Linked DNA regions of Caenorhabditis elegans. The protein of the gene in region 2 interacts with the protein of the main gene of each other region in a pairwise test. Each region holds a gene or a part of one and is shown on either strand. Other genes may lie near its edges.

What was found. Proteins that work in one complex are often made in the same cells at the same time.
Region 1: the proteins of cku-80 (region 2) and cah-3 interact in a two-hybrid assay, tested with the Caenorhabditis elegans proteins (2 studies listed by BioGRID).
Region 3: the proteins of cku-80 (region 2) and F59A2.5 interact in a two-hybrid assay, tested with the Caenorhabditis elegans proteins (2 studies listed by BioGRID).

Annotation. Positions count from the first base shown.
Region 1 is NC_003284.9:16,484,098-16,492,072, reverse strand, and holds cah-3 (Putative carbonic anhydrase 3), read right to left. Parts: upstream 4,593-7,975; 5' UTR 4,540-4,592; coding exon 4,500-4,539; intron 4,016-4,499; coding exon 3,869-4,015; intron 3,823-3,868; coding exon 3,468-3,822; intron 3,161-3,467; coding exon 2,962-3,160; 3' UTR 2,676-2,961; downstream 1-2,675. UniProt on the Caenorhabditis elegans protein: Reversible hydration of carbon dioxide.
Region 2 is NC_003281.10:4,415,991-4,425,611, reverse strand, and holds cku-80 (ATP-dependent DNA helicase II subunit 2), read right to left. Parts: upstream 5,765-9,621; 5' UTR 5,757-5,764; coding exon 5,616-5,756; intron 5,569-5,615; coding exon 5,373-5,568; intron 5,324-5,372; coding exon 5,146-5,323; intron 5,100-5,145; coding exon 5,016-5,099; intron 4,694-5,015; coding exon 4,621-4,693; intron 4,571-4,620; coding exon 4,336-4,570; intron 4,291-4,335; coding exon 4,160-4,290; intron 3,715-4,159; coding exon 3,399-3,714; intron 3,347-3,398; coding exon 3,286-3,346; intron 3,241-3,285; coding exon 3,155-3,240; intron 3,102-3,154; coding exon 2,683-3,101; intron 2,631-2,682; coding exon 2,498-2,630; intron 2,445-2,497; coding exon 2,356-2,444; 3' UTR 2,237-2,355; downstream 1-2,236. Other genes in the region: C28A5.6 (Protein kinase domain-containing protein), read left to right, coding at 1-54, 99-189, 237-335, 385-950, 1,244-1,571, 1,618-1,817; R07E5.7 (vacuolar ATPase assembly integral membrane protein VMA21), read left to right, coding at 6,446-6,551, 6,598-6,912, 6,959-7,113; R07E5.19 (Vacuolar ATPase assembly integral membrane protein VMA21 homolog), read left to right, coding at 7,560-7,725, 7,800-7,942; pdcd-2 (MYND-type domain-containing protein), read left to right, coding at 7,951-7,969, 8,173-8,324, 8,583-8,902, 9,295-9,589.
Region 3 is NC_003281.10:3,401,408-3,408,144, forward strand, and holds F59A2.5 (L antigen family member 3), read left to right. Parts: upstream 1-3,455; 5' UTR 3,456-3,471; coding exon 3,472-3,554; intron 3,555-3,665; coding exon 3,666-3,794; intron 3,795-3,842; coding exon 3,843-4,002; 3' UTR 4,003-4,062; downstream 4,063-6,737. Other genes in the region: npp-9 (Nuclear Pore complex Protein), read right to left, coding at 163-1,060, 1,110-1,570, 1,675-2,172, 2,226-2,651, 2,697-2,789, 2,839-2,856; golg-4 (GRIP domain-containing protein), read left to right, coding at 4,169-4,282, 4,327-4,428, 5,368-5,619, 6,611-6,737.

The DNA.
Region 1 (7,975 bases), on a different chromosome or scaffold from region 2:
TTTTTATCAAGACACTGGTAAACAACTTAAACAAGTGAATAGGAGTAAACGTAATCATGGGCATTTTTTAAAGCTCGCCGGGCTAGACTATAGACTGAATAGACTATGGGCATGAAGATATTATAGACTATAGACTGAAAGTATACTGCTCGTGCTTTTTTTTTCTTTTTCCAGCACAGACGAATCATTGGCCCAGCACTTTGATAAACTTCCCTGCTCACTAATGACGCTGTTTTGGGTAGTGCCAAAGTATTACATTAAACAATTTTTTAAAGAAAACTATAAATATTTAAAGGTGGAGTACCGTATTTCGAAACTTTGCTTTTATACAAAAAAATGGTCCAAAATTACCAAATTTCGTAATAAGGCGTTTTGAAAATTACTCAAAAAAAAGTTATAGCCGCTCAAAGTTTTGGAAAAAATTGTCAATTTTTAGCAGTCTCAAATTTCGGTACTCCACGTTTAATTTCGAGGTTAAAAAACCTAAACAAAACTAATGAAATTTCTGATTCTGTATCATGGGAAATGTAAATGAGAAACATTTGAGATTCAAGCGGTTTGGTCATTAATCTTATTCTATTTTTTTAATCTGAGACAACTTGTTACCCATTTCTCCTTCAATTTCTTAATGAAAAAGTGTTTCACAGAAAATCCCGCGCATACCTTTTGTGACATTTTGTCACTTTTACATATTTTTTACACGAAAGAATTCTTGAAAAACGTATATTTATTTTATTTGGGAAAAATCAAAACATTTTCAACCGAACTCGATTAAATCAACTTCCAAATAATTAGAACATTTTACGAAAAGAATAAAAAGTGAAAAAAAACAAAGATAATGGAAACGCACTCTATAGTGCAATTCAAATTGAAATTTGGCACAAAACTGTAGATTTCTCGATTTTTATCTTGAAGCAACATGAAGTGGAGTGATTCTGACAAGTTCTCACCTTTTCCGATAAGTTCACTACAATATCTGATTTTTAGCAACACATGAACGTTTTCAAAAAAAACTTCCTTACTGACGCTACACAAAAACTGATATTATTTTCAATATACATGTTTTCAAACCGGCTGAACACAAATTTTGGATGCTCGTTTTTCAGTAAATTGGAAGGTATCATGTAAAATTAAAACGTTATACTAGTTTGCTTCAAATGTATAAGAAACAATATATGTGCTCATTTTTTGTTAAATCCAAGGTAGGCAGTTGTTTACCCGCAACCATGTCCCCCATAATTATGGCTCACCCTGTACTTATTGTAAGTATTCGGTACTTCATATACATGTAATTTAACTCGTTTTCAATAAAATGTCAAGTGAATGGGCTTCTTTTTTTTTCAAAGAAACTACAATCGACCTACCTTTCAATTTCTGAACAATCCGAATTTTACAAGGGATTTATAACTTCAAGTAATTTTAAAACTGAAATAAAGCCACAGTTGAGGTATTTGATCTTTGATCAATTTTAGAACGTTCAGGGCATCCCACAGTCTCATTGTTAAAAAAAACTTTTGGAAAATTTATAAACACTCGCTTTTTGGAAAAAAAAGTTATCACGTAAAGTCGAACATGGACTAACATCAAATTGGAAAGAGTCTGTGTTGAGTTCAAGTATTTTAGAAAGGATTACTGGTGAATGATTTTGTAGATTTTTGTTGGTTGGGTAGCAATGAGGCTAACACTTTTCACAATAGCAAAAGCTGCGTCTTGACTGAAGAAATTGAGCATTTCGTTCAAACTTGAAAAAAAAACTTTATCTAGATTTGCAGAAGTTCCTATGTCAAACTGTAGCCACACACGGACTGTAACAGGGAATCTCAGGTCAAAACAGACCCCAGCCCAAATAGAAGTGGGGCATCACGTTGTGTCAAAGTGTCCCATTTTGGTTTGTTCTACGTAGATCTTCGAGAAATGCTGGAAAAGAGACGCAGACTTCTCGACTGATTTTGCATGGTTAAGAGCGTGCTGATGTCACATTTTTTGGGCAAAAAATTCCCGCAATTTTTGTAGATCAAACCGTAATGGAACAGTCTGGCACCACGTAATGCATTTCATATGTGGTTTTTGTGTTTTTTTAAACTGTTTTTGGCATGTAAACGCTGAAAAATTGTTAAGTTCTTAAAAAACAGTTTAATAAAACGTTAACCTCTGAACTAAATTCTTCACAGATTTGAAAAAAATAGAAATTTGTTTCGTAAAAAATATGAATTCAACGTAGTTTTTATACATTTCCTCAAACAATGGTTTTCAAATGTGATAGTTTCGACACCTTACTGAAAAGCTTCACTGTGTTAAAAAATTATTTTTGGCAAAACGGACGCTTTTATACGCCGAGACGCAGTGGTTTGATCTGAGCAGCAAAAACAAAAATTCAGCCTTTTCTCATCATCCGTTATTTAAAAGCGAAATGTTGCAACATTTTAATATTTTATTTTGAAATACCCTTTTTTCTCTGTAACTTGTTTGTTTTTTTCCACAGAAAAAAAGCCTGCAAAATGAAAAAGTGACAAAAAACTAATTAAACCCCTCCCTGAAAAAACCGATAACACATCTTTCCAAAATTCCATTTCGTTCCGTCACCCCTTGAGCTCATACGACCCTATTTTGCACAACACAACTACTTCCTCTTCGTGACGTCACACCCCACACTTTTTATTGAAAAATTGATGAACAAAAAATTCTAAAAATTTATTCAATGTTGTTAACAAAGTTGGAATTGTAGGTGGAGTGGGAACCCATGGGTTTCGTGTCAGAGTAACTAGAATATTGCAATGATTTGGCAGAAATTGCGAATTACTACATAAGAAAAATAGACATCGGGCTGGCTTGAAGTGTTGAAATCAGAGGAAAACGGGGATTTTTGACAAAAGTTGCTTGGGACCATGAAGTTTTTGTTTGGCATTTTTGTATCGGTATTAAATTTGAAAAATGAAAAAAAAACTTTTTTCTGGGAAAATTCTAATTAGCTACAATGTGAACGATTTTGCGATCATTCAAATTTTGAGTCGGACGGTAGTTTTTCTTGATGGGACGCTTCTCGATGTCCTGGACCTGACGGAACAACTCAAGTTGATCGTGGGTGACGGTGACTGGCTCGGTGAAGATGGTCCAGGTGACGATTTCCGAGCATGGCGGGGTGGTGAGAGATCCTTCGTATCTGAAAATCAAACAATGAATGCGACTGGAAATATGTTTGTTAGATCGTCTGAAATATTATGCTATTGCACCTGCATAAACTGTTCAGGCACTGACTTCAAATGTGACTATGAATCAGGAGTAATTGAAAAGTGTGAGATTTGAGCATTTGATCTCTGGCTTCATTATATATTTCAGGTTGGATAAACTATGTTGAGATCAAATAATCATATTAATAGCTGACATCAGTCACGCAAAACCTTTAAAAGGTTTCCCTGTTCCGATTCAATTTAGTATAAGAATATTCAGCTAAGATTCCTTGATCTTACCTCCAGAACGACCTCTTGTTTGCTGGCAGCTTCTCGGAAAGCCTAACATTCTCCACACGAGTCACTGTCTCCGGATTGCAAAGTTTTCCCAAAACACGCTCCTCATTCGACAACGCCTTTCCCTCTTTTCCAAGTTGAAGAAAAACACCAACAACGGCTAGCTTGCCGGGGTCTTCAACTCCCTGGTGGACGAGATGAAGCTCGGCCGGATAGCGGAGCCCACCCAGCGTGTGCTCGGATCCCTCGTTGTCATTCTCTCCCCAATGGAAGTGGTATTGCACGAGGCGGTAGACCTGATCAAGGCCGCCGCCGTAGATTTCTGGGTGTTCCGATCGCAGCTCCGGGGTCATTTGAACTGGAATAAGTAAAGTTAAGCTGAGTTATTTTGAAAAATTAGTTACCAGAATGTCCATTGTTCACAATATCTCCTTGAATAGGATGATCATAATTGACAAACTTGATTCCATCATGGGTATCCTTACGTTCAACCTCTCCCAAATCAATGTTGATTGGGGATTGATGCTGTCCAGTGGGCCAGCGATTGGGTCCTGGAATTAAATTTAATACCATTTGTTATTAATACAATACTTTTTTCGAGAAATAACTCAATCGTTATGTTTTTCTTTGCACGTGGTGTCAGACTGTCTCGTTGCGGTTTGATCTATAAAAAATGCGGGAGTTTTTCCGCCAGGAAAGTGTGACGTCAGCACACTCTTAACCATGCAAAATCAGTTGAAAAGTCTGCATCCGTTCTCCCGCATTTTTCGAAGATCAAACCAATATTGGGCACTCTGAAACCACGTGTTTTTGCGAATTTGGACATTCTAATACTTCTCAGTTTCACAGAGTTATTACTGAACTGAAAATGTTTATATGTAGCAGTCCATGTTATAGGGTGAAATTATCAATATAATTTAATTTTTGATCATTTATTCCTTTTACTGAGTAGATAAATGCTACTGAGCATAACTAATTTTCGAGACACTCAGTTAAGTTTTGAGTTCAAAAAACAGCTAATTTGAGTCAACTTACCACACTCATCATCATCGCAGTAGCTCCAGTGCCCTGTCATCTTTGTTGGAGACACTCTCTTTGATGTGGAGCAGAAAATGTGATAAGAGAGTTCTGCAATTTGAGATTCAATTTTATTAGCAAAAACGTGGAAAAGGGCAAAGAAAGATAAGACTTCCGGTTCAAACCACAATTTTCCACATTTTTTTTTCAAGTATTTCAACTCAAGAGTGTCACTGAAAATTGAAAAAAAAAGAAGAACATTTGGGAAAGGAATAAAAAGAGTGGAGGCATGCCGAAATAGGCGGGGCCTGGTGGGTACTGCTGAAGATAAAATTGAATAAGAAAGCTGAAGGATGGAAATGAAAATATTGTGTAGAGACGCTTCTTCTTTTTTTGTGCTGGTTTTCTACTTCCTAGTTGCTTAGCTCTCTACACTTCACAACGAAAATTTCGAAGAGTTTTGTTTTGTATATTTTGTGGACAAATATGTAGGAGCAAAATAGTTGGAAAAAATACGAACGAAATTTTTTGACAAGCCTCTGGAAAAGCGACGCATCTTCTTCGTCTCCAGCTGAAGATGACATCGTCTGTGTGTAGCTCTGTGTTGTGGAACGACGGGAAAGATGTTGTTTTGTTATTGCCCACGATGCCGTCCAGAAGATGATCAATGCTTTTTTAGGAGACGCGGGAAGCTAAGAGGTCCTTGTCCCCTCTTTTTCCGTCTTTCTCGAGTACCTAAGAATCATGAACTAAGCTTTAAACTTAAAAATAAGAACTTTTGTGCTTGTGCTTTTTAAGTCATGGAGGAAATTGTTTCATGACGATTTTTGGTAAAATTTTTTTTGTAGTAATTGAGTACAGATATAATTTTATTTTTTTAAAAACGGGTAAACAGTTTCATCGCCTAAAGATTTGCAATTTTTTTTCAAAAAGTTATCTTTTTTTTAAGCATATGATCAAAATTTGGAGCTACTTTACGAGCTTTGAACACTGCGAAAATGTAAATTAAAATTATTTCTCATCAAAATTTAGAGTCAGTTATGGCTGGTTAAATTTTTTGTGATAACCTAGTTCATTTTGGGCATTAAAACTGAAAATGTATTCTCTCAAAGTTTAGAAAATAACTTTGTATTTTTAAATATCAAAAACCAAAAATTTCAGCTTCTCAAAATTTTTTTCATTTTGCCAGCTAATTTCAAAACTTGATTTTTCAAGTTCATACAACAATTTCCTCATTGACACCTACCTACATTCACAACACATTTACAAAACACAACTCAAACCACTGCACCTGCATGCAATTTCTCAGGAAAAGCTGCTCGGGAAAACTTGAAAATTCTCACGACTACTGCTCAACATGAAGTGCAAAATGATGAGTGTTAGAAAAAAAGAAGACTGGTGGAAAAAAGAAGATGACGTCCTAGGAGCAGTTTTGAGTAAAATGGAGTGAAAAGTAGAAATACCTAGGGTTTTTGTCTCCTCTTATTCTTCTTCGCGCTTTTTTTCTCACTTTGAAACCAAACAAAGAAGGGTTCTAGGAATGTGAGTGGGTAGGGGAAGGAGGGAGAAAATGCGGAGTTAGGTTTAGAGTAAGAAATTATTAATATTTCTTAGAAAATATTGAAGCTCTGAAAACATCAACGATTTTCAATAATTGTTGGACATATAGTTTGAGTCTAAAACCGCAAAAATGTATCAGAATCATACAGTGCGTACAAGTTCTATACGCCACCCCCTAAATTTATGCATGTGGGCACGTCTGAATTTTTTAGAAGAATTCTGCTGATGCCATTTGATTCCAAATCCTAAAAAACCTATGAGCCTGAGTTTTCATGACCGTACCTCAAAAACTAAATAAATTAGGTCTCACATGAAAGTTCAAGACTGGAAAATTCTAAAAAGAGAAATGTTCATTTTCTCAAACATCAATGAGAAGCTTGATCAGCAAACATGGAAATTGAAGAAATTTGACCCTCCAAAAAAATCCTGATTCCCACTTAATGTTCAAACTTTAAGAATCGAAAAACAAGCGAAAATCAAGCAAATTCTATTGCAACTCGAAGTATTCAACTATTTTATAGCCCGACACGTGGTTCGGAGATTATCGAGTTTAGTGGTGAGAGGAGTCAGAAGCCGTGAGAGAGAGAAAGAGCTTTTCATATATCTTTTGATCTCGGAAATTGATGGAAGAGGAACACGGAACACTGGAATGCACGTTGGAATTTATGGAAATTTTTTGGAAAAGTTGTGACATTGTGGCATATGCATATTTAAATTTTTGGATAATCTCAAGTACTCAACAAATTGGGATTTCGATTGAAATAACCTGAAAACATTTTTTGCTCTTTTTTCAGCTTTTACGTATTTTTTGCGAGTGAGCCAAAATTGAACAGATGTTCACAAAACTGACACTTAATTATATTAAAACCCTTGTTAAAAATTACTTTCTATTTGAAACCCCAAACTATATCTTTTTTCAGAGATGTCTTGAATACAAGTTCAAAGACTTATTTTCCCTTATCAGATTATCCTAAATTATATATTACATATATTTTCTCTTGAGGGGGTGTCTAAAAAGTGATCTCCCATCAAGTGCTTCTTTGTCATTTTTATTCTCTTCATATTTTTATTCTCTTCTCTGTGCCATTTCCGCATGCTCCATCCTTTTGTCGCTGACTTCTTCTTCTTTTTTATTTTCTTGCTCTTCTTGCTCCAGAAACAGAGATCAAGAGCAGAAAATGGCCGCAGGGCGGTGGGAGGAGAAGGGGGAGTGATGTAATGAGAGCACCGAGCACAACCTGATGTGTTTTTTAATTTTCTTTTCTGATTGCTTTTTTCTTTATTGTTTTTGGTTTTCAGATTATAAATTAGAGGGGTTAAATTGTGTTTTTAAATTATTGGGACTCTGAAAAAATTGTAAATTGGAGAATTTAAAAAAATTTCAAAAAAATTGGTACTAGAAATTGGAAATAAATGCCAAAACTATGAAAAATTGTTTCAAAAGAGTTTGAAAAAATTAAATTTTATTTAGATTTACAAAAAATGAAACAAAAATCACAATGTTATGGAGATTCTAGAAAACGAAAATTTTTAAAACTTTTTGAAATTTCTTTTTGAAATTTGTCTTTGGCGTTTTCAAAAATTTGGCGTTTTGCATACTAGCAAATTTAAAAAATTGAAATATAGTATTTAAAAGTTTTACAAGTTACAGAGCTACAAAGCTCTAAACTCCACAAAACTCCAAAGCGAAAAAAAAGCAAAATCAAAAATGAAATGCGATCTATGTTTGAGAAAAATTTTTCCCGCGGGTATTTATTTGACAGTTTCGATGAATTTTGATAAGCCGATGAAACTGATAAGCTCGTGAATCACACAAGAATGGCAAATAGGAATTTTGAGGAAAGGAATTAAAAAAAGAAAAAAAAATCTGCAGAAAATAAACATTTCGAAACATGAAAGCGATGAGACACCTCATTCAACATAGTGCGAAATTA
Region 2 (9,621 bases):
CAAAAAGATGCACAATTTGATGAATTTGTGGACTTTGAGGCATGGGTTTACACGGTAGGAAATCATTATGAATCCAGATTACAACGAAAATTTTGTAGATGCTATTTCTGTGCACTGCCGAGAAGCTTCCATGGTTCGGAGATGCAGAGAATATGTTCAAACTGAAAGAAGTATTTTTCAATGATCCATGTGAGAGCTAATGTTTGACAATCTGCCAATAATTGTTTATTTTTCAGTGAATTATCTCTATGATGGTTGTGCTGATTTTGTTCCACTGGTTGCTTGTTTCATAGCCAATAAAAAGTTGACCTATGAAACTTTCATGGAGAAAATGAGTAAGTGTCAGCTTAGTATTTTTTTTATTATTTAATGTTTTTATTTCAGATCTGATATTTTCGGTGGATGTTATGCAATATTCTGACAAAGAACAACCAAGACTTTACACAATGAAAGAACTCGAAGAAGTCAAGAAAACTAGAAGAGCTCCAGATTTCTACACGAATAATGCGATTGATCTAGTAGAAGGTCATTGGCATGCAGCTGATGAATCGGATCACGATAATTTGAAGGCATCGGATGAGGAGAATGAACAGAAAAGTGCAGCAGCAAGAAAATCAAAGAGTGAGAAGAAGAAGGATTCTTGTGAGAGGTCAAGCGCTGAAACATCTTCTTGCACCGAACAGACCTCTTCGCCAATGTCAGAAGCTAGTTCATCTGATGGGAGAAAGAAACCGAAGAAGGCTGGGAAATCAGCTGAGAGAAAGGAAAAATCCGCAGAAAGGAATCCGTCGAGTGAAAAGGATGATGATGGTGCAACGGAGGCGATGATTGGTGTCGAAAGACGTTCAACTCCTTCCGATGTTGTCAAGAATAAAAAAGGTCGAGCGAAAGGTGATCCGGAGAAACAGAAGCAGGATAGAAAGGAGAACAAAACTGAAGAAGAGAAGAGTGTAAGTATTATGGATCCATCTCGAGACGTAAATAGAGAATGCCGCAGTTTGAAAGCAAAGTGCGTGCAATTGCGCTCCACGACAATATGAAACTATTTATTGGCGGCAAATCCGGAAATTCAAATTTTTAGTAGAAAATTTTAATTTACGTTTTTGACGCCAATACCTAACGATATATAAATTCCGGTGAGCAGAGTTTTCATTGGAGCGCAATCGTACCAACTTTGATTTCAAAACTATAGTTTCTGCGTCGCGATAATATAAACGAGTCTTTGAAAATTTATAATTTTCAGAAATTATCTGAACCACCGAAGCCGAAGCCGGGAAGAGGAAAAAAGGTCAGCCGCGGACTGATCACCCGCGAGTTTTTGTTGGGAATGAGACATGATTTTACTGGTACACAGTCGGCAATGACAGGCTCATATGATTCTACGTCTGCCACATCGTTATCCACGTGGACTTCGTCTACGTGTGCAACTGATGAAGGAGAAGAGAAGAGGAAGTTCAAATGGAGTCTGAAGTCTGAAGAGGATTCTGAAGTTGAGTTTTTCGAAGACTTGGATCAAGAGGAAAGAGAACATTTTAGAAACTATGAGAATCTAGTTGCTCTTTCTGTTAAAGGTATTTTTTATTATTATTGTAATTGTTGGTCATACTCTTGTTATAGATGAAGTGGCCCTCTCGTCTGGATCTGAAGTCGAACCACTCTCTGATATTGATTCTGAGGAGAATCTGGCAATTATTAAAAGACTTGAGAAACGAGAGATGGAAATCGGTTGGGAAGTGTCAAGTGAGCGGGAGAAGACAACCGGCGATAGAAGCCCAGATGATCAACTCGATAAACTGGAAGCATACGAGAAGAAGTGAAAAAAGGAGAAAGATTAAAACTTCCATCGGAACTTGATCTATTACTTGAAATTGAAGATTTGAATAAACTGAACTTGTTTCTTAAATTTGTGAATACCTGAGTCGTCATTTTAGTGGCACAAACTCCGTCAAAGATAGTAGGCAGGCACATTGGCTAGATGTAGGCGATAAACTAGGCATTGAAACCTGTGGGAGGTGCATAGGTATACCTATAGGCATGCATTATGCACACAAGTCGGTAGACATTAAGATCGATGTTTGAGTACTTCTCTGTTATTGTTACCAGTCTGCCTACCGATACACTTGGGTACATCACATTTTCGCCTACCTACGAGCCTACATCTTGCTTTTCCCTACTTTTTCCTCTCACTGTACGTACTAAATAAAAAAAATGCTGACTTTCACATTAAAAAGCGTTCTTTGGGTGATCACCATGATACGGTAGTATGATTTTATTTTCATTTCAGTTCATTCACAGCTTTAAAATGATTGTAGTTAGTTATTTGAGATACATTGCCATAAAATAAAATAAAAATGCTCAATCTTCTTCCCAGAATTCGGCAGCATTGGCGACGGAGACTTCTGACATGCTGACTTCGGAAGAATCAATTGGATTGCATGATTTTTCTGAAATTTGTTGAATGAGGAATGGCAGAAAAGTGGACATGAAATGGTAGTACCTTCAGAAAGAACTTCAGCAAATGGTTCAAAGTCTTCTTCGTCTTTCAACTTCTTGAGAAGTTCATTGAACTCGTCACATTTTGAGTTTTCAACGAAAACTGAGCGAATAACATTCAATTCATTGACGAGAAGCTGTAAATTTAAAATTTAAAGTTTTATTTTGAAAATCTATTTTTGAAAATACCGTAAAGAACTCAGTAACTGCTCCATTTGGTTGAAATTTGCAAGTATTTGAAATCATTTCAAGAATTTTCGAGCAAACACGACTAGCTCCGCCATCTTCCATGATATCCATTTGAACTTCTTCTTTTCTCGTCAATTTCTTTGCATTTGGTTTTTTCTTTTTCTTTTGACTTGCACCATCATCTACCTCATCTGGTTGTGTCATATTCTGTTTTTTCTCCGTCCATTCGGATATCATTGTCTGCAGATCTTCAGGCTCTACCGTAACCCGTTCTCGTTTGGTTTTCTGAATTGGTTGCAGATTGAATTCGCGGCCAAGCTTCTGGAAAATCTCCGGATGTTCTGCTTCGACTCTGCGTTTCGGTGCCATTATTTGATCGAGAATTTGATTGGTTCGATTGGAATGATTTTCGAAGGTATCTGAAATGACAATAATATTATTTCATTTAAACCGAATTCACAAGAATATGTACCGTTTGGATGTAGAACTAAACTTTTGAGAAAATGGCATTGCATCTGCAATTTTGGATCACTCATTCCACCTTCGACCAGTGAAGAGCTGAAAACAATTTTTTATTGGACAATATTTTTCTGAAATTCAAACATTTCATCTTCTTGTAATTGCATACAATCGATAAGGTCATCTACAGCGGAGAGTTGAGCTACTGAAATTTAATTAGTTTTTTGTTAAATTCAAAAGTCTGAATGAATATATACCAGTAGGCTTATTCAAATCTTCATCTTCCTCGTCAAATGAGAATTTCGGGAATTTCAATGTTCTCATATCATCGGAAAATGGTAATTTCACTGATCTTAGATAGAAAACGCCAGTTTCTTCATCTTGATGTGGTAGAAGAGCAATGAGTTGCACATGAGATTTTGCATGGAATGTGTATCGACAAATGGCAGCGACTCGAAGTGAAAGCATTGCTTCGATGAGGGATACGGTAGCTTTGGTGGCACCTGATTTTGGTGAATTGAGAGCAGGAAGTACTGTTTTCGCGCTGGCATCGAGGAGATATGAGTCGAGAATCTAGAAATAATTATTACAATTATGAGATGCGAAATTTTGCGATTTATGAATGGCTATCTTTCTTTTGTTGTGATTTTGAACCAAAAAGTAAAAAAAACGTTATTTTTTTTTCAAAAATGCTAATTTTAGAAGAGAGGTAAGACACCGATTTTTTCGGAGAAATTTGTTTTTGGTCGGAATTATTATTGTGACAACTGGATCTGAAATGAGATTTTTTTGGTAAAATTTCGTGATTAGTTTTTCGGTTTTTTTCTCAAAAAAATGACCATGATTTGTCTATTTTAAAATACAAATTTCAAAATATCGTGTTATAACTGTGAAAAATCGATGAAATTTCAACGGAAACGAAATTTTGAAATTACAGTACTCTTTAAAGGCGCACACCCTTTTTTCGTCGCCTCTAATTTAACATTCTCCGTCGTTGCGAGACCATGTCATATCTTACATTTGCTCTTTTCGTGAACTGTATCAGTTTTAGCACTCCACCAGTCTGTCCCTCGTTGAAATTATGATCATTGTATTTTTCTTTAAGATATTCTGGGTCCATCATGATAACCGATTTTCCGAAATTGTAGCCTGACGCATTAATAATAGATTTTAAAAAATTTAGAATTTCACTACCATGCATAGTTTTTATATTTTCAACGGGTTTAAAGTTTTTCTGAAATTTCGGTTTCTCTTCCAGAACCGGCGATTTGAATTCATCTTTCGGAGCAACTTCGTCAGTTTCCACGTGCATTTGTTCCAATCGAACCATTTCATTTCCTTCGGAATCTGCATTTTTGAACTTGAGTAGTGCTGTAGATTTTTCAGATTTTAGAGCAAAAATCACCGGGAGATGGATTCCAGGAGCAATCTGAACGTTATTTTTATTGTATTAGATTAGATTTCTTCAAAAACTCTTACATCCCACATTTTATTGTATTTTCTCTCGGATTTCTGACGAGCCTGGAAGGTGGAGAGCATCTTTGCGACGTTTCTGGAAATTGTAATTATGATGATATTACTCCAGGCGCGAAATGTTATAGTATTTGCGCCGAAAATACGGTAGCCGGTCTTGACACGACAATTATTGTTAGATACAAACAAGCGTGTTCCTTTAAAGGGTACTGTTATTTTAAATTTTCGTTGTTGTGGAATTTTTAAAGATTTCTCAAATAATATTTATGTGTTTTTAAAAACCATTATTTCAGTTTTTTTTAACGAAAAATTATGGAAAATCGATGAACATTTCGCAAAAAGCGTGTCTAGATTCCGTATTTTTGGCGCAAAAATCGCCAATTTTATTTTTAAAAACTCACTGAAAAGTATATGTTCTTCCTTCTAATGTTTCTGCCAATTCTGCAACTCGAGAAGCAGGATATTCTGGATTTTCATCGATTCCACTGGAATAAGTATTTTTTTTTCAACGCTAAAATGGAAAAATCTTACATTATCATCAAATCTGCATTACTTTCACTAACGGCTTCAACTAAAAGATCGAAATTTTCTTGTCGAATGTTCTCGTTTAATCCATTTGTCAGTACAATCAACGTGATTCCTGATGGATTCGGATACGATTCGATTTGATCTTTTAGCACTGCGACGGCTCCCAGAACACCTTTGAAAACTGAAAAAAATAAATAGGATTTTTGAATTTGTCTTGGATATTCTCTCACAATTTGGATCTATCATTTCTGTATTTTGCTGCAATTCCTTTGTGATAAACTTTAAATGATCAAAGCTGGCTGGTGTAAACTTTTCATTTTGACACTGGACTCCATTAAATGTTTGACCGCCAACTTCTGTTTTGTATTCTTTCGGATCCAAATTGTAGGCCATCACTGAGAAGAGCTCGGGATCTTTGGAAAATAGCTGAAAACAATTTTTTCTTTGAAAGTTTTCTCGAATTTTAGTATCACTTTTCTCGAAACAATCCAATCTGCAGCATTGATCGCATTTTCAAATGCACTTTTTCCAGTTTCAGTGTCTTTCACAGACATATTGGATCCTGCGTCGATAAGGATTACGGTAATCCCGGGAGATACCTTTTTAGGCGGCATTCCTGTAACTTAATTTAAATTGGTGATGTTGAGAAGTTCATATGGAAATATTGCGAAACATGTGAATAAATAATGCGTGCGTTTTTCAAGACTGGCGCGGGTTTTGTACGCAAACACCAACTTTTTGCTGCAGCGAAAAATGAATTTTAAAACATTAAAATTAGAATATTAAAAGAAGATCATTTTAGATACTGCTGGAATATAGCTTTTATCGTTTTTTTTTTCAAATAAAATAAACCAAAACTGATTTTTAAACATTAAAAACCGCTCCCACAAATTCACGAACGTTCGTTCGAACCTCGCGCCGATTATTTTGCGCGTCGAATCTGGTGCACGCGGACAGTTCACCGTCACGCAAAAGTGCACACTCTCAGAGATTGATCACATTTTTCGGTCATTCGTTGTTTTTCGTGAAAATCAAAGTTTAAAAGGGATGTTTCGGGAATTTTTTGTTTGATTTTAAACATAAATTAAACGGTTCTTTCCGAAGTTGAAAGTTCTTCGGTTTTCCGATAACTTCCTCCTTTTCTTGCTTATTTTCAGTGTTGTGTTTGTGTTAAACGTTTTCCTCGTTGCCCGATTTGGTCTTTCGTAATTCTATTTTCTCTGTCAATAACTGACGTTAAATTACACGCTCTATATTTTCATGCGCTCTTCTGGTTCCTCGGTTGTATTTAAATCTTTCCAGAATGAGCGATACTCCAGAACAGGAGCAAGACTTCGAGCTGATCGACGGAGCTGAACGAAAATCCAGCACTTCAGATAGTTTTGAAGCTGTTGATGAAAAGAAAAATGGTATTTTACAAATATATGTTTTTTGTTTAGTGAATTAATAGTTTAGGTAGTCAATCTGTCAGTGAAAACGAGGATGACAATGCTGACAAATCGGCGAAAGAGGAAGATGATGAAGTTGAAGAGGAGATGAAGCTTCCATTCGTTGATCAGTCAATTAAAGACGACGCAAATCGGCCGAAAGAGAAAGACGGTGAGGACCTAGTAGAAGAGGCACTGAAAGCACCGATTCGACCCGATCAAGAACAATTCTACACAGCAGAGCATTCGAATAGAGCTATAACTCTGCTCATCGCATTTTCTGCAATGATGTTCACACTTCCACTGCTTGTTATGGCAAGCTTGTATTATTGGGTATTCATCGGTAAGTGGACTTTTCCAGAATCAATTTTATAGATAATTTGTTTCAGACCACTTCCATTTACCACCAGCAGAAGCCATGCTTTATGCCGGAGTATGTGCTGCCTTGGTCGTAATTCTCATTGCTGCCGCTTTCTGTTATATTGCATGGAAAGAAGAGAAAGACGCCGAAGACAAACTCAGAGCAGAGAAAAAGAAAGAATAGCGTGGCTGTGTATTATCTTCTTCAAAAATTCCTCCTGAACATTCACTTCCCGTTTGGACCTCGTTTACTTATTTGTGATCACTTCGACCCGTTCTATTTATATTAGTGCCTCTGGCTAGATGCTTTTGTACATAACGAATAAATTTTTTTTGTTATATTTTTTCCTTACTAATTGAATTTTTCTCTCTGAAGCGTAGTTTTCGCTTTACTATATTTTAATTTGAAATTGTCAAATTTTGTATCTCTTGATTTCCTTTACTTTTGGCGCCGCTGGATTCAACTCGGGATATCCGGGATTTTTTTTAATTAAAAAAAAACAAATTTTCGGTAAGATTCTCCCAGAAACCTTGGTATGAACCTATTCTCCCCTTAATAATCTTATTTTTTATTCCAATAATAATTATTTGATTTTAAACCCATGGATATACCGAGTTGTTTGCAGCGAAATGACCACTTCCTCTTCATCCGAACCATCAACAATGGCAACTCTGTTCCCGAACTTTCGTGATCAGGAAGTCCAATCCGCTGTCAAGAACCTTCTCACGTATAGTCTTGTGATTCTCATCGTTCCTCTTGCTTCTATGTTCCTCTTGAAACAATTCTTTTTCGAAGGTACAGAGCTTGTTCTACCGATTATTTTTAATTTTTGAAAAATGAATAAAATTCCATTTTCTCTCCTATTTCAGGGCTCCTGGGTGTCAGTGCAAACGACGCTTTGACCTATTCTGCGATCATTGCTGTCGTCCTCGTCCACGTGGTTTTGGGTATCTGGCTCTTCGCTGCTACCAAACAAGAAGATCGCAAGAAGCGTGAAAACAAGCAAGACTAGAAGACACAATGCAAACCGACATTCATGGTTCTCGGCAATTTTTTCTGTTTCACTTTCCCCAATCAATAATGCCTTATTTCTTGTATATTGATCAATCGAAATATTTAAATTTAAATTCTTTGACAAATTTCTTCAAGTCGGACTTAACCAATAAATTTAAGAAAATACACACTAAGTCTCCTGCCCGTTCTCTTTATCTTGTTTGCAGCATGAAAATAGCTCGTTTTCAGATGAACCAGTAAACTTGGGATTCGGAGTTCAATTCGAGCCAGATGATCTGTATCGTCTACGTTCGCAATTTCTTCCACTCGGAAAAATAGGAGGAAAACCGTCATGGTTGAATCCAAAAAATCTTCCAAAATCCGCAGATTTGTTGTGCAACGTAGGTTTTTTATAACAGAACTTTGAAACTGACCTAATTTTAGCTAAATCTTCAATTTTGCCAACTTTTCCGTATTGCAGCGTTCAGAAATTAATTTTATTTGATCATTGTTTTATTTTACTACAAAAATATGGAAAATAAAACAGCAATACGGAAATATTTGCAAAATTAAAAATTTTAGCTGAAATTATAATTTTTTCAAAATTAGCAACAAAAAACTTCCTACAACCGTCCACCAAATAATTTCCCAAATTTAAGGTCTGCGAGAAACCACTGTGTTTCCTGATGCAAGTATCAGCAAATGGAGGTATAAATGATCCTCCACACGCTTTTCATCGTTCTCTATTTCTCTTCGTTTGCCGTAATCCATCCTGCTCTCGTACAAATGATGCCGCAAATCTGAAAGCCTTCCGATGCCAACTTCCACGTGCCAATGATTATTATTCATTTGATGGACCAATGGATCCTGATTTGGATGGAGATGTTGCTGATCCACGTGCACCGGCTGATGGACCCGGATTGTGTCGAATCTGTGGATGTTCCGCTGCGAAAAAATGTGCCAAGTGCCAAGTGGCGAGGTGAGAGAAGTTACCCATACGAAAAATGTTGCGTCCAGAATAAAAAATTCTCCGTTAAATGCAAAAAGGCGTGTGCCTACTCTAATTAGTACTCTAATTAGGCTTATAATTCCAAAATTTTCTTGCTGCGGAATTTTTATTGACTTTTAATATTTCTTCTCTCGAATATAATTATTTTGTTAAAGTTTAAAAAAATTAATACAAATATCTTCGGAAAACTTTGGAAAATCTATGAAAATTCAGCAAATTTATAATTACAGTACCCCTTAAAGGCGCTCACATTTTTGTGCATTTAACAAAAATTTGTCGTATCGAGACCAGTTACAGTATTTCTGGCCGGAAAGACGAAATTCTGGTAAATTTTGTTCACACCTTATATGTCACAATTTCAGATATTGCTCTCAAGCTCATCAAGTCATCGACTGGCCTGCTCACAAGCTCGAATGTGCTAAAGCGGCAACAGATGGCTCCATAACGGATGAACCGAAAAATCCAAGAAATGCGTTTTGTTTCAAAGAATTCGGTGTAGAAATTGATCAGGAATATATGCCAGCAAATCTGTTTGACGGACTTAGTGATGATGAAGGCGATGAGGAAGAGGAAGAAGGAAATGATGAGGATGAGACTGAAGAGGAGAAGAAAGCAAGAATCAGAGAATTTGAGAAATTTGTCAAGGAGAACAAAGGGGTTAGTTTGACGCCGGAAAAAACAATTAAATT
Region 3 (6,737 bases), 1.0 Mb from region 2:
AAAATACTTGCAAAACAGTTGAAAAGTGCGCAAAACTAGCACTTTTCTTAACTGTTTCAACTGAAATAAGTTATTTTCTACGTTTTATCACTAAATTTTAATGAAAACTATCAAAAGAACATGCCAAGCTGGCTCATTTTGATATAAAATCCTAAATCTGACCTTAATATCTCCGAGTCCACGTTCCTTATTCTCCTTGAGATCCGAATAGTACTTATAAAGCTTGCATCTGGCGGAGAACATGACCTCCTCGTCCTCTTCACCAGTTTTCACCTCAACCAAATCCGGAAGAGGAATAACTGGCTTAAACTCGACTTCTGGCTCATACTCCCCATCTCCATCCTCATTCGTCTCATCACCATCGTGTGAAGTTGCAGAAGTCGTGTTCAACGTGGTGTTCTTGCTCCCGAAAATGCTTGCCTTCTTCTGAGCAGCAAGTTCTTCTTGGGCCTTCTTGACATTTGCTGCGTCGAAAATGGAGCCAGATTTGGCAGAGTTGGCTGAAAGGGCAGCGAATGTTGCACCTCCAGACGTGAATCCACTACCGAACACGGATTTTGGCGTCTCGGACTGTTTATTTTCTTCTTGTTTAGCTGGTGCAGTCGTTGATGGAGTCTGTTGCTTTCCGAATGAGAAAGTTGGCTTTGGGAAGGCACTTTCAGAATTCTTGGCGAACATAAACGACGGAGTAGTAGTTGAAGAAGCTGTAGATTCAGTCTTGGAGAGTCCACCTCCGAACAATGAATTTCCTGGAGTCGTAGAGGTTGCCGGAGAAGCAGTTGAAGCTGCAGGATTGTTGAAATTGAACGATGGGGTAGTTGCATTGACAGCGGCAGCTGGCTTGTTGAATGAGAAAGTTGGAGTATTAGCAGCACCTCCACCGAAAACGCTTGTTCCCTTTGGTGTTCCACCACCGAAAATGCTACTGCTAGTGCTTGGAGATCCGCTGAGTGATCCACCGAACTGAGATGTTTGAGCAAGAGGTTCCTTGGCTGGAGCAGATGCTCCGAATCCGAATGTCACTTTTGGAGTTCCTGGGGCAGGCTGGAGGATCGAAGGTCTGCAAATTTAAATTTTTAATTTTAAGATAACTCAAATAGAATATTTACTTAGAGAATATATTTTTCTCTTTGACAGATCCGTCTTTCGATGTCCCACAACAGGCACATTCAATCTCGTCAGCTTTGCAAGTAACATAGCATCCAGGGCATTCCCAAGATCCTGGTTTTGGCTTGAACTGATCTCCAAATCCAGTCTCTTCCGGTTTGTTGTTTGATGGAATCACAACTTCTTGCTTGACTTCCTTCTTCACCTCAGCCGCCGGCTTGATTTCCTTGTCGATGGTCTTTCCAGCGTTGCTCGATGATTTTGCCTCAGCGACAGCCTTCTCGAACAAAGTCTTAAACTCTCCAGCGATATCGACGTTAGCGAAACGAGCGGAAAGCTTCACGTGAGCTGGCTGATCTTCGGAAAAGTCCTCGCAGAACCATGTGTAGGCCTTCTCGTTGGATTTCATTTGTTGAATGGTCATCGAGCCGAGAATTGGGAAATTGGCACAGACTTTGAGAACCTGTAATTTATTTTAATGCTAAATTAAGGTATTTAAATTTAAATTAAGATCTTTCTGTTGAGGAAAACGCCGAAAAATGTGAAAAAAGCTGTAATTGGAATAACCTGAATATTCCAACACAATTCTTCGGTTCCATTCTCAATATTTGAAGGGAGTGTCTCCTCCGAAATGGTCACCTGGTCTCGTCGCATAACAACTCTCCACGACTTCTTGTCCTTGTTGTAGAGAACCTTCAGCTCGCCGGTTCCTCGCTCCTTCCATTCCTTCGTCTCGTTGGCATAAATGTAGAGTTTTGAACGATTGCAGAACATGGTTTGCTCTCCTTCTTCTCCAGTTTTCACCTCGACAAGATCTGGCAGTGGAATGACTGGCTTGAACTCGCCCTCTGGCTCGTAATCCTCATCATGTTCTTCGTCTTCATCATCTTTAGCTGCTGGAACCACGACTGGGGAAGCAGTTTCAGGCTTTTTACCGAAGATTGAAGTAGCTGGATTGGTCCCGCCGAATGAGAATCCGGTGGTGGCTGGCTTTGGAACAACTGCAGGCGTTGGAGTAGAGAATGTTGGCTTAGCAGGTGGAATTACAACTTCTGGTGGAGATGTCTGAAAAATATTGAATTTTTAATTGCTGGAACTAAAACCCGAAAATTTGTTACCTTTGGTGCAATAACTCCAGAAGCTGGAACTGTCGATTTTGCTTGTGCTGTAGTGGCGACCAGTGGCTGTGTAACGGGAATAGCTGGCTTCGCAGCATTGAGCAAATTAGCCATAACTTGGCTTTGGGCCTGTGCTTGGGCTTGAGCTTGAGCGTGAGCATGAGCTTGAGCTTGTGCTGCCTGCACATGAGCCATCTCCATTTGTCGCTGAAGAATCAACATTTGCTGTTGTTGCTGAAGCTGCTGTGGAGGAATCATTGAGCCGAGAGGATTCGCATCACGAGCAAGAAGAGTGTGTATAATTTGATGAAGTCTCTCGAGCTCTTTTCCGTGATTAGTGCTCAAATCGGACAACTGCTTCTGAAACCGATCCTCGGATCGACGAATATCATCGCGAAGCTGGGTGACGCCGGTCTGGTGCTCAATCTGTGAAAAATAAGTATTAAATTGAGTTTTTCATGAATCGCATACCTTCAACGAGTCCATGCTTTTGATAAGCGAGTCAAACTGCATTGTCATCAACTGCTGCACATCCACGACGCTGGCGACAATGCGCCCCATATTCTGAAATACCGTGAATCATGTTGAGCAACATTCGAAAAGATTCACTTACCGGCTTCTGATCGCTCATTGCGAAAGGAGAGCTGAAATATGAAAAATATCAGGTAAACAATTCAAGAGACTTCAAGCTAAAGCGAGATAAAAAGACGAATACTGCGGTCTCTTTAGTTGAAAATTAGCAGCAATACTTCAAAGAATTCGCGCCAGGGATTTGAATTTCGAAATTTCGCGCCAACGCTTTCCCTGCTTAAAATAGGGCTTTCCTACCTTTAAAACTAGTCTTTTCTGTATAAAATATGCTTTTAAACGCACAAAAAATGTTTTCCAGCTATTTTTCGTAAAAATACGGAAAAACTATGGCGAAACAGTCTAAAATAAATAGAAATTGGGCGCCAAGCTTCGCAAATTTCGAAAAAAGTTCAAATTCCTGCGCCGTGGCGAGACCCGTTGCGTAAATCGACACGCGCGCCTTTAACCATGAGTTGGCAATTATTCATGGAAAATACCGGTTTTTCAGGCGAAAAACAGGATTTTTGATATTTTCCGTCGTTTTTTATGGCTTTTTCGGTTTTTGAAATGTCAATTTTGCCTGGAATAGCATTTATTATTCACTTTTCTCAGCGAATTTATTGATTTTTCATCAGAAACTTTCAAAATTGTGTTTTTTAGTGATTACAACAACAAAATGGAAGTAGACACAAGCTCATCGTCATCTTCAGAGGACGAATGTGACCCAAGCTCTCCGAGCACGGCATATATCCACTCAGCGTGAGTTTTTCGCTAAAAAACACAAAAAACAAACTGTTTTTTAAATGTTTTTGTTTCAAAATTAACATTTTCTGAAGTTCTAACAGCAGTTTCTAATCCGATTAATTCCAGAAGCGTACGATTATCCGTCGGAACAGAAGAAGCGGCTCGAACCGTGGCAGATGTCATAAAAATCGATAAAGAGCCGAGAAGAAGTGGTGCTCGACGGGAAGTGTGCAGCGAAGGCGAATTTGTAGTCATGTAATAGTTTTTCTATTCGAATAACTAAATAAATAAGTTAATTTTCAGAAAAATCGAATCAAAAGATCCGAAATCATTGTCAAAATCCATTGCCAACGCTGTTGATATGATCGATTTGTCCGTGAAAACTATCAAACTTTGTGAAAATCTGGGAAAATCGAAGGAAAACGGATTGAAAAGAAAACTCTCAAACGGATCTCAGGCTTAATTTGATTAAAATTTGTTATTTTTTCTGTTTTTGTTTTTTGAAATGAATTTTTTTCAACTTTTCATGATTTTTTCTTCTTAAAAATATGGTTTTTAACCTTTAAAATACTTTTTTTTTCGATTTTATTGCAAATTCCCCACTAAAAAATCGATTTTTTCAGGTTTAAATGTTCAAAAACCTGAAAAACCGGCTGGATAATGAAGCCGGAAAGCTTAAACAATCAGCTCAGCAGTATGGAGAACAACTCGCCGCTCAAGTTGGACAATATCGGCAGGCGATGGTAAAAATCCACTGAAAACTGAGAAAAAATCGATAAAATTGCAGAATGAGCAGCCTGCTGGCAGTGATGCATCCGCGTCGATTTCTAAAAGATTCACCGGAGAATCAGGAGAAACTAAAGCTGAAAATCCAGCAAATACCTCTATTGTGAGAGTTTTAACATGAAAAATTCTCGAAAAATTGAATTTATCGTCGAAAAACTATTATTTTCCAACCATTTTCGTGAAAATTTCCGGAAAAATGGATTTTTACTGTTGAAAAACAATTTCTTGTGAGATTTAGTTCGGAATCCAAAAAATGTACCAAAAACAGCAGAAATATGCGAAACAAAGAGATTTTTAAATAAAAATCTATTTCCAGCAGCTGTGAGACCGTTAAAATGTACGAATTTTAAGGTTTTATTAAAATTTTTCGCCATTTTTTCGAAGTTTTGCATCAATTTAATTGCAAAAAAAATATATTTTTTCCGCATCTAAATCACATTTTTGTATGTTTTCCATGTTTTTTACAAGAAAACTCAAAAAATACCAAAAAATATTTTTTTTTTCATTGGGAAAAACCATTAAAAATCAGAGATTTCGTTGAAAATGGTCACATTTTTACGAAAATGATCGAAAATGACTTTTTTTGTCGAAAAATTTAAAAAAGAGGAAATCCTGTTTCTCTTAAAAAAGAATTTTAAAAATTCAGAGAATATCGAAAATTAAAAAATGTAGAAAATTGATACGAAAATTAAATTTTTTTAAATAAAATTATGTTTATAATTTTTTTCTGAAAAAGAAAAAAATGTCAAAATTTGAGCTATTTTTTTCCAAAAAAATCGGAAAAATAAAAATTCGGTTTTCCCGAAAATCGATAAATTCGCAAAAAAAAAAATTTTTTATGAGAAAATTTTTTTTCTTCTGAAAAATTAGAAAAATGTCTGAAATTTAAGCTATTTTCAGGAAAATAATGAAAAAACGTTTTTCAATTAAACACACAATTTTTATCAATAAAACAGGAAAAACATGTTATTTTCATCTAAAAATAAGAAACAAATGGTCAAACATTTTGTAAAAATCTCTCTGAGACTCAATAAATTTCCAGGAATCCTCGTCAGCAATAATGTCTGAAATCCCTGAAGCTGATCTTCTAGGCCTCGGACTTTCATCAACTGAATCTCCATCAAATCGTCGACGTCGTTCACCATCTGAAGATTCAATACATTCAAATGAAAGTACACTTGCTGCATTACTTCAATCAATTCCAAATGCAATTTCATCTGCATTAGAAACTATTCCTTCTGACTCTGAAAGTGTTGCTAGTGATGCATTTTCTGTTAGATCTACTAATGATCCGGTTAGTAATGGAAAATATGAAATAAATCCATGTTTTATAGACTTTATTCGAAAATTAAATACAAAATTAACTAGAAATAACATAAATTTAAAAAAAAACCTTTTTTTTTTTTGAAAATTCTACTCGAAAAAAAAAAGATTGGTATTTAGAAAAGGATAATTTTTTTTTTACTGATTTAAAAAAAAATTCCATTTTAAAAAAATCAAAAAAAGTTACAAAAGTGTTGAAAACTAACCTGGGTGTCAAAAAAAAATTCTGAGACAGTTTTGAAAAAGAATCTACGAAAAAAATATTTTCTTACATATTTCCAAATAAAAAATTCCAAAAATGAAATTTTTATATTGAAAACGAACCGAAATTCAATTCACAAAAAAAGTAACGAAAATTTACGAAAAAATAACAAAAAAATACAAAAAACCCAAAATTTCCAAAATTTACAGCCCAGAATTTACAAAAAAAATACCCGAAAAATTTAGAGAAAATTAACTAAATTTACAAAAAAAACCAAAATTCAAGAAAAAACCAACAATTAAAAAAAAAATATTGTCAAAATTTACAAAAAGTAACCAAAAAATTAAAAAAACTAAAATTTACAACAAAAAAATAACCAAAATTCACGAAAAAATAACCTGAAAATTTCAAAAAAAGAAGACAAAAAGTTACGAAAAATTACGAAAAAAATGACCAAAAATTGCTGAAAATAAAAAAAAAACAAAAAATATCCAAAATTCAGTTTGGGAAATTAATTTTAAAAAAAGAAAACAGAAAAATTTTGTAAAAAAAAAAAATTCAAAAGTGACTAAATTTTGCCAAGCCACTCGGGTTTTCATTAGAATTTTAAAGCATACATTTTGAAAAAAAGTTTTCAATTTATACCCAGAAATTTTTTGAAAAAAAAAAACTTTGAAAGGTTTTTTCAAGTTTTTTCAAGTCCAAACTGCACATTTAAGCTAAAAATAGGCCCTTTTCTCACAAAATCTCAATTTTACAGGCCTACAACTCTCGTCTGAAACAACGTTTGGCCACGTATAAAGCTAAATATCGTGATGCAGTACACCGTCATAATAAGCTCGTTGATGACGTCAATACAACACGAAAATTGCTCGAAACGACACAAG